2 linked regions of the Pelodiscus sinensis genome follow. The protein of the gene in region 1 purifies or fractionates together with the protein of each later gene. This does not show direct contact. Links are inferred from orthologs where the notes say so. Each region holds a gene or a part of one and is shown in the gene's direction. Other genes may lie near its edges. The genes, in order: EPN1 and PHGDH.

Evidence for each region.
Region 2: the proteins of EPN1 (region 1) and PHGDH purify together in Homo sapiens (affinity purification with mass spectrometry; 3 studies listed by BioGRID and IntAct, with this or other methods). This does not show direct contact. The link is inferred for Pelodiscus sinensis from reciprocal best matches to the Homo sapiens genes EPN1 and PHGDH.

What each region holds. Positions count from the first base shown.
Region 1 is NW_027465849.1:3,115,395-3,125,215, reverse strand, and holds the start of EPN1 (epsin-1), read left to right. Parts: upstream 1-5,991; 5' UTR 5,992-6,496; intron 6,497-9,111; 5' UTR 9,112-9,360; coding exon 9,361-9,588; intron 9,589-9,821. UniProt on the Homo sapiens protein: Binds to membranes enriched in phosphatidylinositol 4,5-bisphosphate (PtdIns(4,5)P2). Modifies membrane curvature and facilitates the formation of clathrin-coated invaginations. Regulates receptor-mediated endocytosis.
Region 2 is NW_027465903.1:144,310-153,841, forward strand, and holds the start of PHGDH (D-3-phosphoglycerate dehydrogenase), read left to right. Parts: upstream 1-4,952; 5' UTR 4,953-5,064; coding exon 5,065-5,202; intron 5,203-5,520; coding exon 5,521-5,672; intron 5,673-5,769; exon of another isoform or gene 5,770-5,828; coding exon of another isoform or gene 5,829-7,049; intron 7,050-7,466; coding exon of another isoform or gene 7,467-7,568; intron 7,569-7,687; coding exon 7,688-7,753; intron 7,754-9,532. Other genes in the region: uncharacterized protein LOC142824412, read right to left, coding at 5,829-7,049, 7,467-7,568. UniProt on the Homo sapiens protein: Catalyzes the reversible oxidation of 3-phospho-D-glycerate to 3-phosphonooxypyruvate, the first step of the phosphorylated L-serine biosynthesis pathway.

The sequences.
Region 1 (9,821 bases):
CAGCGCCCCCTGTGGGAAGCCACTGGCGACTGCCCCGCCTGGGACCAGCGCCCCCTGTGGGAAACCACTGGCGACTGCCCCGCCTGGGATCAGCGCCCCCTGTGGGAAGCCACTGGCGACTGCCCCGCCTGGGACCAGCGCCCCCTGGGGGGAGCTACCGGGCACTGCACCACTGGAACCAGCACCTACTTCTGCTCGCAATGAGGCCCCCTCTCTGGAAACCTTTCTTCTCCAGTGGCGGACAGTGGCAGTGGGGGCTAGGGCCAAGGGGCCGCTGTGGGTGGGGGTTTAGCATGAGGTTGATGCTGTGATGGCTGGTGGGAAGCTGCCCGGAGTGTGGCTTAACCCTCTTCCCCCAGCCTGCTGTTTGCCTCCTCGGGGGCCAGGTCCTGGAAGGCGTGGGGCCAGCCCTTTCTTCCCCTGGTGAGGGCCACTAGGGAGCAGAGTCCTACCCTCTGCTGGAGGGGATGAGCCCTGGTCTCTGTGGGTGGGTGGGCTCCAGCTACCCATCCCCTTCTCCCACCAGCGTCCCTTCCCTGAGGCTGTCAGGCACCGAACGGGGCTGCCAGGACGGGGGTCTACCCACTTCCGCTCCAGCTGTGGGGCAGGTCATAATACCTAGAACTCGCTGTGTGGCCAGGGGGCAGCGAATGGGGCTGGGGGCCTTTCCCCTCTAGGGGGCACTAGCTCCCAGCTGGTCCAGGGCAGAGGCCAGGGGAATTGTTTGTGTTGTGTGGCTAGAATATGGCCACGTTGATGCCCTGTTACAACCGCTGTTGTATGTTACAGCACCTCTTGTCCTGTGCGTGTCCAGGGAGCTGTTTATAAACGGTGTACAAATCGCTAGTTACGACTGTGCCTTTCTTACGCGGGTCTCGTGTTTTTATGGGAAGTCGTGAGCTTTGGCGCTGAGATTCTATTTCAAACGTTTGCCGTGGGCAGCCACCGGCTGGGGCCTTGTGCACACAAGTTGAACACAAGAACTGGCCTGACCATGGGCCTCGGGCGGGGCCAATCCTCATCCAATGAACTTTCCGGCAAACATCAGACCAGCACGGGAGCAAATGGCGCCTACCCCTAAACAACCGAGTCCTGCCCTGACCGGCCACTTGCCCGTGTGACCCCAACTTGTGACTGTATTTTCCACAGCGAGAACAAGGGGATTCCTTCCACCTGGCAAACGATAAAAAGGCCCTAGACACCCTCCATTTTGTCTAAAAACTTGCAAGCCCTTAGCTCCAACCTGAAGTGCGACGGCCGGGGGGGGGAGGCAGTCTGTGGCCCCTTGAGGTTTTGGGTGGGGCCCGGCAGATATTTTATTCACCATCGCCCGTGCCCAGGGTGGCCTGATTCTGCTGGGTTTCAGCCATGTCGTTTTTCCCCCCTACCGGGATCACAAAAGTGACACGCACATCAAACCAAGGCCCGTGAAATGAGATGATAGATTTATAGAATCCTAGAGGTCATCAAGTCCAGACCCCTGCCCTCACAGCCGGGCCAAGCCCCATCTAGACAATCCCCTTCTCCCCCCAGGCAATTTATTCCAGTGTTGAACCACCCTGACAATCAGGAAGTTTTTCCGACTGTCCAACGTCAACCGCCCTTGCTGTAACTTAAGCCCATTGTGTCTTGGCCGTGTGTGATATTCGCACACAACATCGACTGCCAGCCAAGTGGTCCCCCTGTAACCAATCCAAGCTCTGCCAAGGCTCAAGGAGAACCCCTCTCTCCACCCCCCGCACTGTTAGGCACGCAAGCACAGTGAGCGAAACTACCCTCTCCTGGGAGATTCTCTTGGTCGCAACAACCTTGCGGCCTACTGAGATGAAGGAGGGCCTCTCTTGGGGTCCCATCGCTAGTCCAGGTTGCCCCTCCCTGTTCTAAACAAAGGACCGAAGGACTCGTCCAAGCTGTGGGTGGCTTCCTGAGATTTGGCTTACGCCAGCGGTTCATTCCAACGCCGGTACAAGCCTGAGCCAAGAGCTTGGCAAGTGTCGTGTGTATTTAATGTAACTGTTGTAACTGTCGTCCTTTCTCTTCTTTTTACAAATAAACCTTTAGGCTATGTCTACACTGGCAGGTTCTTGCGCAAGGCTTCTTGTGCAAGAACACGTCCACACTGCCATGTGCTTTTGCACAAGAGCATCTGTGGCAGCGTGGACGCTCTCTTGCGCAAGAAAGCTCTGATGGCCATTTTAGCCGTAGGGCTTTCTTGCGCAAGACACCTCTGCCGTGCAGCCACACTGCCTTCTTGCACAAGAGCCCCTGCGCCAGAGAGCTGACACCTGTTAGACAAGAGCGTAGCTCTTGTGCAAGAAGCCCTCTTCCGACACTGTACTGTACGTCTTCTTGTGCAAGAGCGGGCGGGCAGTGTGGACGCTCTGCGGGTTCTTGCGCAAGAACTCGCCAGTGTAGACCTAGCCTTAGAGCTTAGTTACTAAGGGGTTGGCAACCACGTGATTGCTTGGGTCTGATCGAAGGTGTAAACTGAGCTGGGCATGAGGCTGGCCCTCTGGGAGCGGGAGAATTTGTCCGGATTGGTTCACATCACCTCCCCTTGGGGAACGTGGGGGTGGGGGGGCTACTGGCGGTGATGCAGGGGAGCGGGAGGGTCTGAGGGGGTTGCTTGTGGGACTTCTTGCTGGCCAGGGTAGGGGAACAGACGCGCTCTTTGCGACTGTTTGGTGCTTTATCGCAGGGAGCTCCAGTCGTGGGCTGTAGGACTGTCTCAAAGCAATTCGTTCTGAGCTGAGACTCTCTGGAGTGTCCCCCCAGAGCCCTTTTGTTACAGGGGACAGGGGGCACCAGCTCCCATCCACCCCCAGGGCAGGGACAGGCTGGCTCAGAAGGGTGGGGAAGGGGGCCTGGAGCCTTTCCCCTCCATGGCTGCTGTAGCTGGCTGTGGCTTCCAGTTGCTTTGTGGCCCCTGCCTGAAAGGGGTTCACTGGGTCTCTGCCCGGTTCCCAACAGGCTGGACCACAGCGCCTAAGCCCCGCTCTGCCCCTGAGAAGTGGGTCTCCCTAGTGTGAGGGGACCAGAGGCTCATGGAGCCGGGGGCTGCTTCGGGTGAGGCTTGGGGCCCAGCTGTCTCAGGGTGTCTACCGTCAAGGCCTGCCCTACCCTGGGGCGCTGGCGGGAATGGGCCATACTCTATGCAGCTCCTTGAGATGGGCCCTCAGTCCCATAGGATGGGGATGTGCCTCCATCATGCCCTACGGCTATTTTGGACTACAGACCCTACAAGAACAGCGGCTGAGCTGCAGTGTCATGATTCCAGAGAGACCCTACAATAACAATTCCACTGCTCGGGAAAGACCCTACAATGGGGGGGCGGGAAACCCATTAAATAAAGAGAGCTGAAACCGGCGGAAGAAATGCAAAGAGCTGCACCAGAATTGTCGAGCAAAAAAAAAACCACACACTGCCCCTTTAAAAAAACATGGGCTTGGGCTTTTGGGCCATAGCAGGCTCCCATTGGCTGCCGCCATCTTGCAGCTCCCATTTTCAATCACCTCCGGATGGCTCCCTGCCCCGGTGAGCACAGGGGGCCGATTGGAGGGGCGCTGGGGCAGCTTTGCAAGCCACGGGGGAGGCTGTGTGAGTTGCACTTTTGGGGGGGTGGGGAGAGCCGCATTCGGTTCACGAACCACGGGTTGACCACCCCTGCCCTACAATAACAAACCAGTACCCCTCCTCCACTGCCACAGGAGACCCTATAACAGCAAACCAGTGGGTGCGAGCCTGGGAGGGGGGCGGCTTGTGCAGTCCTTCGCTGCGCTGCCTGTTTGGCCCCTCTCTTCGGGCCGGCAGGGGCGGGGGCCATCACGTAGGAACCTGACGTGCAGACGGATCGAATGGATCATCTCCTTGGGTTAAGGGATCACCAGATGGGGTCAGACTGGTCCCCGTGTCCAGTTTGGGGCTCATCACAGTAGGCCAAGGGACCTGAGAAACGTGGCATCAGGCTGGGTCAAAGAGTCACCTGACTGGGTCTAGAGGCCATCAGGCCGAGATGGCTTGGTGATGGCTGGATGGAAGCTGCTTTAGCGGGATACCTCCTGGGCAGCGGAGGACGTGAGGGAAGAAACAGAACAGCCGAGCCGTCTTCTCCAAGATCAGTCCCGTCCCTCAAGCAAAGGAAGACAGGAGGCTGGAGATTCTGGAGGTGAAGTGCTTGCTAGGTTAGCGGCGGAGGGTTTGGGGTTATTTGAACATTTGACCGCCTTCCGCGGGGAGAAGGGGTGAACATAAGAATAGCCAGACTGGGTCATAGCAAAGGTCCATAGCCCAGCGTCCTGTCTTTCGACCGTGTCCAATACCAGTTGCCCCAGAAGGGAATCATCAAGTAATCCCTCTCCTGTCATCCATTTCCAGCCCCTGGCCAACAGAGGCTAGGGATACCATTCCTACCCACCCCAGCTAATAGCTATTGATGGACCGAATCTCCATGAATTTATCTAGTTCTTTCTTGACACCCGTTAAAATCCTGGTCTTCACAACCTCCTCTGGCGAGGAGTTCCACAGGTTGGCTGTGCACTGTGTGAAAAAAAACGTCCTTTTGTTTGTTTTAAACCTGCTACCTACTAATTTCATCTGGTGACCCCCTACTTTTCTTATGTTGTGGGAACAAGTAAATAACTTTTTTCCTTATTCACTTTCTCCATACCTGGCATGATTTTATAGACTTTTTTTTCTAAGCTGAAAAGTCCCAGTCTTTTTAATTTCTTTTCATATGGCACCTGTTGCAAACCCCTCAAGGTATAACGGTTGGACGCCTCCAGCTGAAGAGAAGAGGGCCCAATCTCCTTGTGGACAAGCTGGCTAGAGTAGCGCGTGTGTGTGTGCCACACAATTAGCAAGAGGAGCCTGCAGAAACCGCAAAGAGATGAGCACATTGCACAACATTGAGGTGCTGAGAAATAAATTCACCACAATTCATGAAGGCTGTTGATCAACTGGAGAGGGGTCAGAGAAGAGCCAGGAGAAAGGAGAAAGGGTTAGAAAACCTGCTGTACTGTGACAGACTCACGGAGCCCAATCTAGTCCATTAAGCAAAGAGAAGCTAATTGAGTTTCTAAGTACCTATGTGGGGAATAAATGTTTAATAACAAGCTCTTCGATCTAGCAAAGAAAAGTCTAAGCTGCTTCCGTGGCTGGAAATTAGAGCCAGACAAATTCAGGTTGGTACGAAGGCGTCCGTTAATTAACCGTCGGCACAACTTACCACGTGTCCCAGTGGATTCGCCATCCCTGGGAATGTTTCACTCCAGACTGGATGTTTTCCTAAGAGACGGGGTCTGGGAATTACTGGGGGGGGGGGGGGGGGGGGCAGGGCTGTGGCCTGTGCTAGACAGGGGGTCAGACTAGATGCTCCTATGAATCTGCGCCAGGCCGAGAAGTCCTTGTGCTGGGTCAAGGAAGCCAACACGTGGGGCCAAGGGGACTTCTCTGTGGGTAGGTGTCCCAGCTGCACAGGGGAGGCCGGATATTTGTCTTGGGTGGGGGCCTATTTCCCTCCCCACCCCCACCCCCGTCCTGGGTTTTCTCCCTGGCGGCGCGGCCACCTGCCCCCGCGAGGAGCCGCCGGGTCAGATCCCATCAGGGCAGCCCCCCCCCGGGGCCGGGGTCAGTGCACGGGGCCAAGGGCTCAACAGGCAGCGGGGGAGGGGGGGGGGGGGGTCACAGTGTCACCCTGCCAGACCTGGGGGGGGAGCAGGGCTGGGGTCATCAGGGCAGGTCAAAGGTCATGGGGCAGGTCAAAGGGTCAGCAGGGTGGGTCAAAGGTCAATCTATTGGGCAGGGAGTCAAGGGGGCGGGGCCAAAGCCTCACGGGAGGTGAGGGGTCAAGGGGGGCGGGGCCACGCAACCATGGGGGCGGGGCCAAGGGGAGGACAGAGGGAGGCGGGGCGCGGCGCAGCTTCCCGGCGTCATGGGAGAGGCAGGAAGTGACGTCACGGCGAGGGCGGAAGCCCGGCGGGGGAGCAGGGCGGAAGTGAGGGCGGGCGGCGGCTTCCGCTTCCGGTGCGGAGGGTCCAGCAGCCGCGGCCGCTCTAGCGCCGAGCGGAGCCTCCGGGGCCCCTAGAGCCGGGCGAGAGCGCCCCTCCCCCACCGGCCCGGGGACCCCCCCCCCCAAGTGACACCCCCTCAGGGCGGGACTCAGCCCCCCCCCCCCCGGCTTCTCCGCCCGATCTGAGCCCCCCCGCCCGGGGAGCCCCCCCCCACTGGGCCAAGGGGGCAGCCCCCCCCCGCGCGGGGCCCTGACATGCCCCCCCTGGGCCCGCGCCCCGCCCGGGGATAGGGGGGGATCAGAGGGGGTGGGTCGGTGGGCGAGAGACCCCCCCGCCCGCCCCTGAACCCCCCCCCGCCAGCGCCGCGGGGCCTGAACCCGGACGGGGGGTGACCCCGGGGGCTGGTCCGCCCCCCCCCCCCCCCGCCGGGCGGCGGCCCCGGTGCCCCGCGAAGCTTCTTCCGTCCCGGCCCCCGCGGGGGACGCGAGGTGAGTCCTGCGCGGGGCGCGTCTCGGCTCCGCTGGCAGCAGGGCCTAGGGGTTAGCGCGCCTGGAGCTCTTCTCTGCCTCAGTTTCCCCACCTGTGAAATCCGCTCCCCCTTCGCCGCTTTGGGGACCCTCCCCCCCCCCCGGGCGCTGCCAGCGAGGGCGGCCGCCCTGGGCTCTGCTTTCTGCGAGCCGGCGAGCGTGGGAGGTGAGAGGGACTCGTCCCTCTGAGTCAGCGCCGGTGCCAACTGCCGATCACCCCTTTGACGGGCTGGCGGCGCGCCCCGCGCTGTCCAGAGTTCACGGGAGGGCCGGGCTGCCCTGGCAGGGGAGATCGGGCTGGTGCCTTCGGCTCGGGCTGGGGGGCAGCTTGCAGAGGCTGGAGAGAAGGCCAGTGCTGCCCAGCATGGGGGATCTGGGCCCCGGGTGTTGTGGAGGGGGGGCCAGGCTGTCATGCCCGCCCCGGCTTTGCAGGGTGGCCAAAGGGGACAGGGGAGGCCGTTTGGGGAATCCAGAAGAGGCCCGTCTTGTACCCACACGGGGGTGGGAGGGCACGGGAGTGCGACTGGTGGTGCCTAATCTGGGGGCCTGGTGTAGGAGTGTGTGAGGCAGGGAAGGATTGGTCTGGGGACACGGTGCTTGGGGGGAGTGGGGCTGACCCAGGGAGATCCCTGGGCAGGGAGGGGGTGAGTGGGGCTGGCCCAGAGGCGGGGAGGGAATTGGAGGAAAAGGGGAGGCAGGCAGGCTGGCTGGCTGGCCAGCGGCCTTGACCACCGCAGGGAGTGGTTCTAATCCCCCAGCTCAGCCTTCTCTCTCACGTGGTTCATTGTCACGTCCAGACCCTCCCTGTCTGGCTGCCCGGCAGCCCAAGCAGGTTTATGGGCAGCCCATGGCACAGTGGGGGGGGGGGGGGTAGCTGACTCGTGGGGTGAGAGAGAAACTCTCCACAGCCTGGATGATTTATGGTCCCCCGAGAGGGCTCCCGGAAGTGCCTTTGTGCTGTTGTATCCCCACCTGCTCCCACCCCTCTCTGGAGAGCTACCGGGGCTGGGGACAGCTGGCCGGTTTGGACAGGGAGCTGACGGGGAGATCAGGACGGTGCTGTGCGGATCCCAGCTAGCGTGGTGGATCCCAGCTGGTTCCCTTCCATCTGCCTCCTCGCCGGGCGTGGTGCTTGGCGCTCGCAGAGCCGGGAGTCCCCTCAGGTGCAGCTCTGGGGCACCCATCTGGGCCTCTGGCTAGCGAGGGGCTGATCTGAGCAGTCGGGTCTCCCCCGTGTCATTGTGCCGCTCCTCTTGGCTTTCTGCTACCGGAGCCAGGGAACTGTTGCAAAATCCCCGCGGGGGATAGGCCCCTGCCGCCCGGTCAATTTCATAGTCGGCCCCAAACCTGCTGGAGCCTGTTGGTCCACCCTTCACGGGTGAGGGGCGGGACTCCCACTCCCCAGGGCTCTGGGGGTTGGGTCTGACATGAGACCCCCTGGGATTGGCAGGGCGTGGAGGGGGTGTGAGAAGAGCTGCGACAAGCCCTCCGACCAGCGTGTGGTTATGGGAAGGTCCAGTGGGTAGGAGGCAGATTAGTGCTTAGAGCAGGGAGGCAGGACTCCTGGGTTCTCTTCCCAGCTTTGGGTGGGGGGGTCTAGTGGTTAGAACGGGCAGGGGCTGGGAGCCAGGATTCCTGGGTTCTCTCCCTGCCCTCTCTCCATGAAGCGGGGGGTGGCCTGCATGGGAAGAAGGGGAGGGGGTTCCCTGAGTCCCAGGAGCACTGCAGGACCACTGCATGGGCTCTGAGGGCCAGGGGGAACCTGCATTCCACCCCCTGGAGGTCTCCAGCCCCTGCAGCTCCCGGGTCCCAGCTGGCAGCAGCCAGAGGGGAAGGAAGTGAGGCCTTGTGCCTTTCTGAGTCATGGCGCCAGGACGCCTGGAGCTTTCCTTCCTTCCCCCGGCGCTCGCCGGGCTCTGCTCCGTGGCTCCGATCCCTGGGTCCGGAGATGTGGCTGCCTCTGGGGTAGAGCTGGGTGCTGGTTATCCAGGCACCCATCCCTGGTGCTGGGGTGCGGCCCCTCTGGGGCAGAGCATGGGGAGCGGGTCACCTGCACGCCCCTAGCCCCAGGCTAACACACGTCTGGCTGCGGGGCCGGCTGTGACGGGAGGGGCGAGTCCCTCCCCCACCCCCACAGTGCGGCGCCCCCAGAGCTCTGTGTCTCTTCCTTCCCCGGGGCCTTTGGCTGGAGGCTGAATTCCAGCTGCGCTTGGCGTCCAGCCGCTGGGGGCTCCAACCACTGGCTGCTGCTGCCTCCCGCCAGCTTGGGTGCGTTCTCTCCTGGGTCTAGACCCCCCCCGACCCCTCCCAGAGTTAGTGCTCCCTGCCCGCACGCTCCCGCCGGGGAGGGACAGAGGAGGCCCCGGAAGCCAGTCCCCCCCGGGGGAGTGTCGGACTCCTGGCTCCCAGCCCCCCTTTTGAGCCCCAGAGCCTGGGAGAGAACCCAGGAGTCTCCTGCTCTAACCACTAGCCCCCACTCTCCTCCCAGTGCTGGGGGGAGAACCCTGCCCCCCTGGCTGCGTCTCGTGCCGGCTCTGTGTCATGGAGTCACTGACCCTGCTCTCTGTGTGTTGCAGGTGTGGCTGTGAGTGGCCGTCATGACCGGCTCGCCCCTGCCGGCCCAGGCCCAGAGAGTGGCCTGACCCCCCTCCCTGCACCCGCTGGTGCCAGCCCTCCCCATCGCACGGACACAGGGGGATTTCCTGCCCCCCGGCCAGGGATCCGGGGCCCTCCCCATTGCACGGACACGGGGGTGCCCCCCCTCCCCTCGCAGGACTGGGACCAGGAGCTGCCCCGCAGCCGGGCCGCCCCCCTCCCCTCCCACCATGTCGACCTCCTCGCTGCGGCGCCAGATGAAAAACATCGTCCACAACTACTCGGAGGCAGAGATCAAGGTGCGGGAGGCCACGTCCAACGACCCCTGGGGCCCGTCCAGCTCGCTCATGTCGGAGATCGCCGACCTCACCTACAACGTGGTGGCCTTCTCGGAGATCATGAGCATGATCTGGAAACGGCTCAACGACCACGGCAAGAACTGGCGCCACGTCTACAAGGTGCCGCCCCGGGGTCCTGCCTCCCAGCACCCTGCCCTAACCACTAGTCCCCTCGACCTCCGCCCGGAACTGGGGCGACAACCCAGGAGTCCTGCCTCGCTGCTCTAACCGCTAGCTCTCACTACCCTTCCAGAGCTGTGGAGTCCTGCCTCCCAGCTCTAACCGCTAGCCCTCGCTACCTTTCCAGAGCTGTGCCTCCCAGCTCTAACCGCTAGCCCTCGCTACCTTTCCAG
Region 2 (9,532 bases), on another chromosome or scaffold:
TCTGCTGGGCAAGGCTAGGTGGGCTCCAGCGCCATGGGCAGGGCCTGGCGGACACACGGAGAGACAGACAGATGGCGAGGCCACAAGCCAGCAGCGAGTGCAGTCGGCAGCCGTGCGGGGCCAACACAAGAACTCCCCGGGAGCCTGTGACGGGAGCGCGGGGTCATGGCCACAACCGGCAGCCAGGCAGCGACTGACCCCACTTCCCGCTGTGGCGGCGCGTCGGGGTCCCCGTCTCCTGCCCCCCGGAATGGCACGAACAGACTCCCCCAGCCAGTAGCACAGGGGGGTTTATTGCCTCTGCAGGACACAGCCCAGCACAGATGGAATCTGGTCACAGGCACTGGGGCTAAGAGGCCTCAGCCCCCCTTGAGATGGGGGGTGGCTGGGCCCTACAATCCCAGCCCCCTCCCCAGCTCCTTCTCCCCTGCTTCCCAGACCGAAACTAACCCTCTTCCAGCCCTGCCCCCAGCCCGGGCGGCATCCTCCTTCCTTTGTCCCTCTCCCTGGGGGTAGCTGGTCGGACAGGTTGAGAGACCCACTTTGCATAGTGACTCACCCCTGCCCTGCTGGGCCGTGCTACAGACAGCAGCCAGTGGGGGTCACCCACAGCCCCATCCTAGCAACCAGCAAGGTACCCCCACTACGTCACACCACCTGCGAGACTTTCTGTGCCAGACGCGCCCTGGGCAGCGCAGGGGGGTCGCCCAGCGACGGGGTTGCCCAGCGACGGGGATACCTAGCGACTGGGTCGCCCAGCGATGGGGATACCTAGCGATGGGGTCGCCCAGCAATGGGGATACCTAGCGACGGGGTCGCCCGGTGACGGGGATACCTAGCGACGGGGTCGCCCGGTGACGGGGATACCCAGCGACGGGGATACCTAGCGACTGGGTCGCCCAGCAATGGGGATACCTAGCGACGGGGTCGCCCGGTGACGGGGATACCTAGCGATGGGGTCGCCCGGTGACGGGGATACCTAGCGACGGGGTCGCCCAGCCCCATCAGCGCCCCAGGCAGCGGAGACATTCCTTCCCAGGCCAGGCCAGAGGGAAGCACGGCCTCTGGCTCAGGCAGGAGCCTGGCACGCTGCGCTGCCACTCTGCCACGGTCCAGTCCTGCCTGGGTGACCCCAGGCAAGTCACTCAGCCTGCCTGTGCCTCGGTTTCCCCTCTGCACCCCAGCGCGGCGCGGGGGAGCGATGCAGGGCAGCTGGCCAGGCTGAGCCCTGAGCTGTGACCCACACTCTGTGCCCCCTCTAGTGGCTCGACGAGGCAGTGCATCGCCACAGCACTACCGGCGGAGGGGCGGGAGGAGGTGCCCCCTTGCCCTACAGACTGGCCCAGAGGGCAGCCCCCAGCCCCCGGCACTCGCAGGGCCCTTTGCACCCAGGCTCCGCGGAGTCCTCCCTGGCAGCTGCTGCCCTGGGGAGGGGCCTTTGCGGGCTGGTCCAGGGGGCCTGGCGTCCTGCCCCTCACAGCCTGCCCGGCCCTCTGCTGGGCTTTGCTGGACTTCACTTGCCGGGGGCAGGGCAATTTTAGTCGTGCAAGGCCCAGCCTGGCTCCTTCCCCGCATTGTGGCCTGGGCCACACAGATCTCCGGCCCCCCTGGAGCAGCAGCGGGTAGTCAAGGTCCCTTCCAATGGTTTCCATTGGTGTGTGGAATAAATTTTATGTGCACCCAGGCATGTGCAGGTGTGCACCACCCATACATTCACCTGCTGCTGGCTGTGGGCACTCTGCGAATCAGCTGGGTGGGATTTGAATCTCTCTGGGTGGCTGCCCCAGTGCCCAGCTCCCGGGAACACTGGTCCCTTGGTGTGACAGCGTGGGCGCGGGGCCAGGCTGCCGGCAGGAGGCTGAGGGATCCGGAGTCCAGAGGGCACTCCCCACGGGAGCGAGGTGCTGCCAGGTGGAACCTGTTGTCCAGGGTTGCTCAAGACAGAGCCCTTGACCTGGTTTCCTGTCCGGGTCCAGCTACCCTGGACTTTCCCCCAGCTCAGACGTCAGCGCGGCCACCGGCCCGAGGCGGCTCGCTCTGCCTGGCCCTGGGGATGGGCTGTTTCCCTTTCCTCGGGGAACCGTCTCGGAGCAGCTCCCCCCCCAGCAGAAATCGGCCCCGTTTGTAATCCCCCTTACAAACTCCGAGCCCAGAGAGCCGGGGGCTGGACTCAGGGCTAGCCCGGGCCATGGCGGGGCTGTGGGGGGCCAGTGGGGGCTCTCTGTCCCTGCCTGTGCAGAAGAGCTCATTCCGGCGCCCATCACCCTGGCACGGCAGGTGAGAGGCCCTGATGGGCGCCCGTCCTTACCCCGCTTGCCACGCAGACCAGGTGGGGCTTGGGCCACGGACCCCTCCCCCAGCTCTGGCCATTGCCCGACACAAGTAGCTTAGTTTGGCTGCTCCTTCCTCCTGAGGATCGGCCCGGGGGCCCGGCAGCCTCCAAGGTCGGGGAGGGAACAACCGGACTCCTGGCGCTAGGGCCCTACCAAGTTCACAGGCCATTTGGGCCTGGACTCCTGGTGCCGTCAGCGATTCCGAGCCGACGTGCCGGTGCTGGAGCGGCGGGAGAGTCCCGGGTTATCGGAGGGGGGTGCGGCGCTGCTCCCCTTACTGCTGCGCTGCCTTCAGAGCTGGGCGGCCAGAGCAGCAGCTGCTGAGCGGGGAGCCCAGCTCTGAAGGCAGCACCGAGCCAGCAGCGGCACAGCACAGGGCGGCCTGCCATGGTGGGGCTCCCTTACTGCTGTGCCACTGCTGGGGGCGTGCGGCCTTGGTGCTGGCACCTGGCCACCAGTCGCCTCTCTCTGGCCACCCGGCCTAAGGCAGCACAGAAGTGAAGGGTGGCGACGCCACAACCCCCTAAAACAGCCTTGGGACCCCCTGCTGCAAACGTGCGGGTCAGACCCGGTTTGAGAGGGGCGGGGCTCTGTGGGATCTGCTGGGTAAAAGCGCACAAGGCCAGATTTCCCTGGCGGCGCAGTCCCGGGGGCAGCAGGTGACGAGAAACGGGCAGCGGAGTTGCCAGCCCCGAACGTTCAATCACCACGTGCCAGGCTCAAAAGGATCCCGCCTGGGGCAGAAACTCCCGAGACCCGAAAGTCAGCCTGGGGCTCTGTCTACGCGAGCCCTCTGGGCCCGGCTCCCGGCGTCTCCCTGCAGGGCCTGCGGCCGCGTGGGGAAAGCCCAGCCAAGCCCCACGGCGCGGCTCTGAGACGAGCCCCTGCCATGCTGGGAACCCTGCAGCCAGATTCCCACGCGGGACCCCGTGGCGGAGACACCGACTGGGGCGTCCCGTGGGCAGGCGGCTCGGCGGCTGAGACACGGCGCCGGGCACAGCGGGATGCGCTGTAGCTCACAGATCTGAGCGCCGGCAGCAGGCAGCGGGGCAGGCCTGGGCCTGACGTGAACACGCTGTGTAACCAGGCGCACGTGGGGTAAAGGAGCAGACGCACGTTTCGTGCTGGTCCCAGGCTCCGGTCTGGCTGTCGGGAGAGCCCGAGGGGACCTTTGGGGCGCACGAGTCTGAGCTCCGGCCTAAAAACTCTCCCCCCGCCCAGCCAGGGAAGCGCCCGGCCGTCTATCAAAGGGGCTTTGTTTTCTCCTGCACAGACCCTGGGCCCCACACGCCTGCCCTGCCCCACTGGAGGCGGACGCTGGAACTGGCCTTGGTTTTACATGGCTCCGGGGGCGGGCCAGCTTATCTGGAGGCAGCGGGTTTTCTGTGTGCAGCTCCCCCAGCCAAGAGCTGCCTTGGACTGGTCTGTTCTGGGGATTCCTCCTCACCAGCCCCACTGTGCCCGGCTCTGGGCCTCGTCCTGCGCCGGGGCCAGGAACGACCCCTCTTGGAGACAGGAGAGTGGAGAAGGGAGCCAGGACGATCCGCTTCGGCCCCCACTGAGCCTGGGAGCTGTGCCACTAGCCACAGTGTCCGGGGGCGGCAAGTCCTGATCTCAGTTACCCCTGCTCTGCTGGAGGGGCGCTGGGGCGCTGGGGGGCGACTCCAGATCGACTCCAGCGTCTCTAGGACAGGACGTGGCACCATTGGCAGACGTGTTCTGTTTTCCTGCGCCCTGGGCAAGGCCGGGCGGCCAGGGGGTGCTGCACTGCGGGGGGGGGTAGCTAGTGTGATCCCCCCCAGCGAGATTACATCAGCCCAGTCCTGGCTCCCTGCTGCTTCCCCCCGCTTTGCAGATGGGCACACTGAGGCTGGGAGCAGGCCCAGAAGCCGGGCCACCTTCCATGCAGCCTCGCCAGGGGCAGGGCACCTCTCGGGCAGACCAGGGGTAGGGGGCAGGCAGGGGGCGGACGAGTTGCAGATGGGACGGGGGGCAATGGGTGGGCGGGGGGCGGGCGAGTTGGGGGGGCAGGAGCCGGGGGGGGAAGGGGCGGGCGAGTTGCAGACGGGGGGCGGGCGACTTGGGGGGGCAGGGGGTGGGGGGGAAGGGGCGGGCGAGTTGCAGACGGGGCGGGCGGGGGGCGGGCGAGTTGGGGGGACAGGGGGCGGGGGGGAAGGGGCGGGCGAGTTGGGGGGGCAGGGGGCGGGGGGGAAGGGGCGGGCGAGTTGGGGGGGCAGGGGGCGGGGGGGCAGGGGCGGGTGAGTTGGGGGGGCAGGGGGCGGGGGGGAAGGGGCGGGCGAGTTGGGGGGGCAGGGGGCAGGGGGCAGGCGAGTTGCAGACGGGGCGGGCGGGGGCCGGGCGAGTTGGGGGGGCAGGGGGCGGGGGGGAAGGGGCGGGCGAGTTGGGGGGGCAGGGGGCGGGGGGGAAGGGGCGGGCGAGTTGGGGGGGCAGGGGGCGGGGGGGCAGGGGCGGGTGAGTTGGGGGGGCAGGGGGCGGGGGGGAAGGGGCGGGCGAGTTGGGGGGGCAGGGGGCAGGGGGCAGGCGAGTTGCAGACGGGGCGGGCGGGGGCCGGGCGAGTTGGGGGGGCAGGGGGCGGGGGGGAAGGGGCGGGCGAGTTGCAGACGGGGCGGGCTCAGGAGCCGGAGCCGGAGCCGCAGCCGCCGGAGCGGGGAACGCAGCGCAGGGAAGCGCAGGGAAGCGCCGCCCGGGCCCCGCAGACCCCGCCGCCCCCATGGCCCGCGCCGCGCTGGGCTCGGTGCTGCTGAGCGACCCCCTGGACCCCTGCTGCGCGCAGCTGTTGCGGGCCGCCGGCATCCGGGCGCGGGAGCAGCCCGGCCTGAGCCCCCCGCAGCTGCTGGCCGAGATCCAGGTGGGGCCGGGCGGGGGGGCTGCTGCGGGGGCACCGGCCCGGGCCCCTCCCCCGCCAATCCCGGCCCGCGCCCCCCCGCACCCGCCAGCCGCGCCTGATGCAAGAGGGGCGGCTGCTTGCGCGGCGCTGGCTCGGGCGGGGGGGTCCGGCCCAGCTCCCGTGACGTCGTGGCGGGGGGGGGGGTCTGTGCAGGGCGGGGGGCGGGGGCAGAGCCCCCTGGGGAGCTGGAGCCGCTGGCCCGGGCTGGGGTCTCGGTGCCCCCCGGCTCTGGGCCGGAAGGGGGGGGACAGGCTGGCTCTGACCGGGTCCCGCCCCCAGGACTGCGATGGGCTCATCGTCCGCTCAGCCACCAAGGTGACGGCCGAGGTGATCGAGGCCGGGAAGAAGCTGCAGGTGATCGGGCGGGCCGGCACCGGCGTGGACAACGTGGACGTGGAGGCGGCGACGCGGAGGGGCATCCTGGTGATGAAGTAAGGGCCTGGCGCCAGGGCAGAGCCGCCTCTCCCCGCGTGGCGGCCCGTGTCTGAGCCGGGCAGGGCTCCGGGCGCCCGCGGGGCCAAGGTCAGCTCGTGTGTGCAGGGGGTGCGCCCCGTGCAGCTCCATGGGCACATGGTACCCCCCCGCCCTCATTCCACACCCTTGGAGCTGGTCCAGAGGGATTCAGACAATGCGGGGTGGGAGGGAGGCTCGTGGCGGGCGCGGGGCTCTGGCCCACGTTCGGAGGGAAGTTCGTGGCGGGCGCGGGGCTCTGGGCCACGTTCGGAGGGAAGTTCGTGGCGGGCGCGGCGCTCTGGGCCACGTTCGGAGGGAAGTTCGTGGCGGGCGCGGCGCTCTGGGCCACGTTCGGAGGGAAGTTCGTGGCGGGCGCGGGGCTCTGGCCCACGTTCGGAGGGAAGTTCGTGGCGGGCGCGGGGCTCTGGGCCACGTTCGGAGGGAAGTTCGTGGCGGGCGCGGCGCTCTGGGCCACGTTCGGAGGGAAGTTCATGGCGGGCGCGGCGCTCTGGGCCACGTTCGGAGGGAAGTTCGTGGCGGGCGCGGGGCTCTGGCCCACGTTCGGAGGGAAGTTCGTGGCGGGCGCGGGGCTCTGGGCCACGTTCGGAGGGAAGTTCGTGGCGGGCGCGGCGCTCTGGGCCACGTTCGGAGGGAAGTTCGTGGCGGGCGCGGGGCTCTGGGCCACGTTCGGAGGGAAGTTCGTGGCGGGCGCGGGGCTCTGGGCCACGTTCGGAGGGAAGTTCGTGGCGGGCGCGGCGCTCTGGGCCACGTTCGGAGGGAAGTTCGTGGCGGGCGCGGCGCTCTGGGCCACGTTCGGAGGGAAGTTCGTGGCGGGCGCGGGGCTCTGGGCCACGTTCGGAGGGAAGTTCGTGGCGGGCGCGGGGCTCTGGGCCACGTTCGGAGGGAAGTTCGTGGCGGGCGCGGGGCTCTGGGCCACGTTCGGAGGGAAGTTCGTGGCGGGCGCGGGGCTCTGGCCCACGTTCGGAGGGAAGTTCGTGGCGGGCGCGGGGCTCTGGGCCACGTTCGGAGGGAAGTTCGTGGCGGGCGCGGGGCTCTGGGCCACGTTCGGAGGGAAGTTCGTGGCGGGCGCGGGGCTCTGGGCCACGTTCGGAGGGAAGTTCGTGGCGGGCGCGGGGCTCTGGCCCACGTTCGGAGGGAAGTTCGTGGCGGGCGCGGGGCTCTGGCCCACGTTCGGAGGGAAGTTCGTGGCGGGCGCGGGGCTCTGGGCCACGTTCGGAGGGAAGTTCGTGGCGGGCGCGGGGCTCTGGGCCACGTTCGGAGGGAAGTTCGTGGCGGGCGCGGGGCTCTGGGCCAGATTTAGCCAGCGTCTCTGGAGTTGATGGCGCTCCAGAATGCTCCAGCGAGAGCCACACAACTTTTTCTGTACTTACAGCTTTTGCTGAAAAAATGCAACTTGGGGTAAAATTCCCCACGTGGCTTCAGCTCCGAGCAGAGAGACACTTTGCAAACGTTTCTCCAGTGGCGCCGTGTCACTTTCTGCTTCCACATGGTTTCTGAACTTGGCCAGACCCGATTCAAAAGCAAAACGAGCCCCCCCCGGAAATGGAAATGAGGAATTCGCTTTTGAGTCAGACCAAATGGCTCCTTCTGGGTTGTTCACGTCAAGCCGGCCGCCCCGTTGTCCACTCAGCTCACGCTCCAGCCCCCTTTGCTGGGGGCTGCTCGGGGCAGGGACAGTGACCCCCGGTGCAGAGCCCAGGCACTGAGCTGCAGGGCGGTGGGGGCCAGATGGCTATGGGGGGAGAATCTACCCGGCGGGGGGCGGGGGGCGGGATGTACGCCGGCAGCGCAGGCGGTGTGATGGCAGCAGACAGTGCCAGCGCCGTGCCCGGCTGGGCCCGAGGCTCCGCCATGGGGTGACAGGAGAGTCGCTGGGGCCGGGCGAGCTGCCGGTTCCCAAGTGGGGGGCTGCCCAGTGCCCCGGGGCTCCCCTGCCCCCCATGCCTGTGCTAACCCCGCGCTCTGCCCACAGCACGCCCACCGGGAACAGCCTGAGCGCCGCCGAGCTCACCTGCGGGATGATCCTCTGCCTGGCCAGGTGACCCCCAGCGCTGCTCGGGGGGCTGAGTAGCCCCTCCCCTGCTGGGCTGCCCGCTGCCCCATCCCCCTGCCCTCAGCAGCCAACTCCCACCACTGCCCGGAGCCCGGCGCCAGCTCTGGCCTGCCCCAGGCATAAAGCCAAGCCCAGGCTCCCCCCACACCCGCTCGCCCTGCCAGCCTGCAGCCTCCCACCCACGCCCCGGCACAGAGCTCCAGGCATCCGGCAGCCCTGCCCCAGCCATCTGGCTCCGAGCTGCTCACCCAGCATGGAGCGGAGAGTCCCGCCCCACGGCCCCGCCCCACAGCTGACATTGCCCTTCGAGTCCCGCTGCACTGCCCTCTCCAGTCACACGGCCGCCAGCTGCCAGCACCCACTCCCAGCGCCGCATCTGTCCTCCCCCCCAGGGCACCCCATTGCTGCCCTTGCCCCTCCCCCACTCAAACAGACCCCCCCCCCCCGTGGGCATGCCCCATACCACGGGCACAGACCCCCAGCAGGCACACCCCATACCATGGACACAGGTCCCCAGTGGGCACGCCCCATATCACAGGCACAGAGCCCCCGTGGGCACACCCCATACCACGGGCACAGACCCCCCCCGTGGGCACGCCCCATACCACGGGCACAGACCCCCCCCGTGGGCATGCCCCATACCACGGGTACAGACCCCCCCCATGGGCACACCCCATACCACGGGCACAGACCCCCCCGTGGGCACGCCCCATACCACGGGCACAGACCCCCCGTGGGCACGCCCCATACCACAGGCACAGACCCCCCCGGTGGGCACGCCCCATACCACGGGCATAGACCCTTCCCCCCCGTGGGCACGCCCATACCATGCGCACAGACCCCCCCCATGGGCACGCCCCATACCACGGGCCTAGACCCTCCGTGGGCACGCCCCATACCACGGGCACAGACCCCCCCCCATGGGCACGCCCCATACCACGGGCACAGACCCTCCGTGGGCACGCCCCATACCACGGGCACAGACCCCCCCCATGGGCACGCCCCATACCACGGGCACAGACCCCCCCCATGGGCACGCCCCATACCACGGGCACAGACCCTCCGTGGGCATGCCCCATACCACGGGCACAGACCCCCCCCATGGGCACGCCCCATACCACGGGCACAGACCCTCCGTGGGCACGCCCCATACCACGGGCACAGACCCCCCCATGGGCACGCCCCATACCACGGGCACAGACCCCCCCATGGGCACGCCCCATGCCACGGGCACAGACCCCCCGTGGGCACGCCCCATACCACGGGCACAGACCCCCCCATGGGCACGCCCCATACCATGGGCACAGACCCCCCCGTGGGCACGCCCCATACCACGGGCATAGACCCTTCCCCCCCGTGGGCACACCCCATACCACGGGCACAGACCCCCCGTGGGCACACCCCATACCACGGGCACAGACCCCCCCATGGGCACGCCCCATACCACGGGCACAGACCCCCCCATGGGCACGCCCCATACCACGGGCACAGACCCCCCGTGGGCACGCCCCATACCACGGGCATAGACCCCCCCTATGGGCACGCCCCATACCACGGGCACAGACCCCCCGTGGGCACGCCCCATACCATGGGCACAGACCCTCCCGTGGGCACGCCCCATACCATGGGCACAGACCCCCCGTGGGCACGCCCCATACCATGGGCACAGACCCCCCCGTGGGCACGCCCCATACCATGGGCACAGACCCCCCGTGGGCATGCCCCATACCATGGGCACAGACCTCCCCATGGGCACGCCCCATA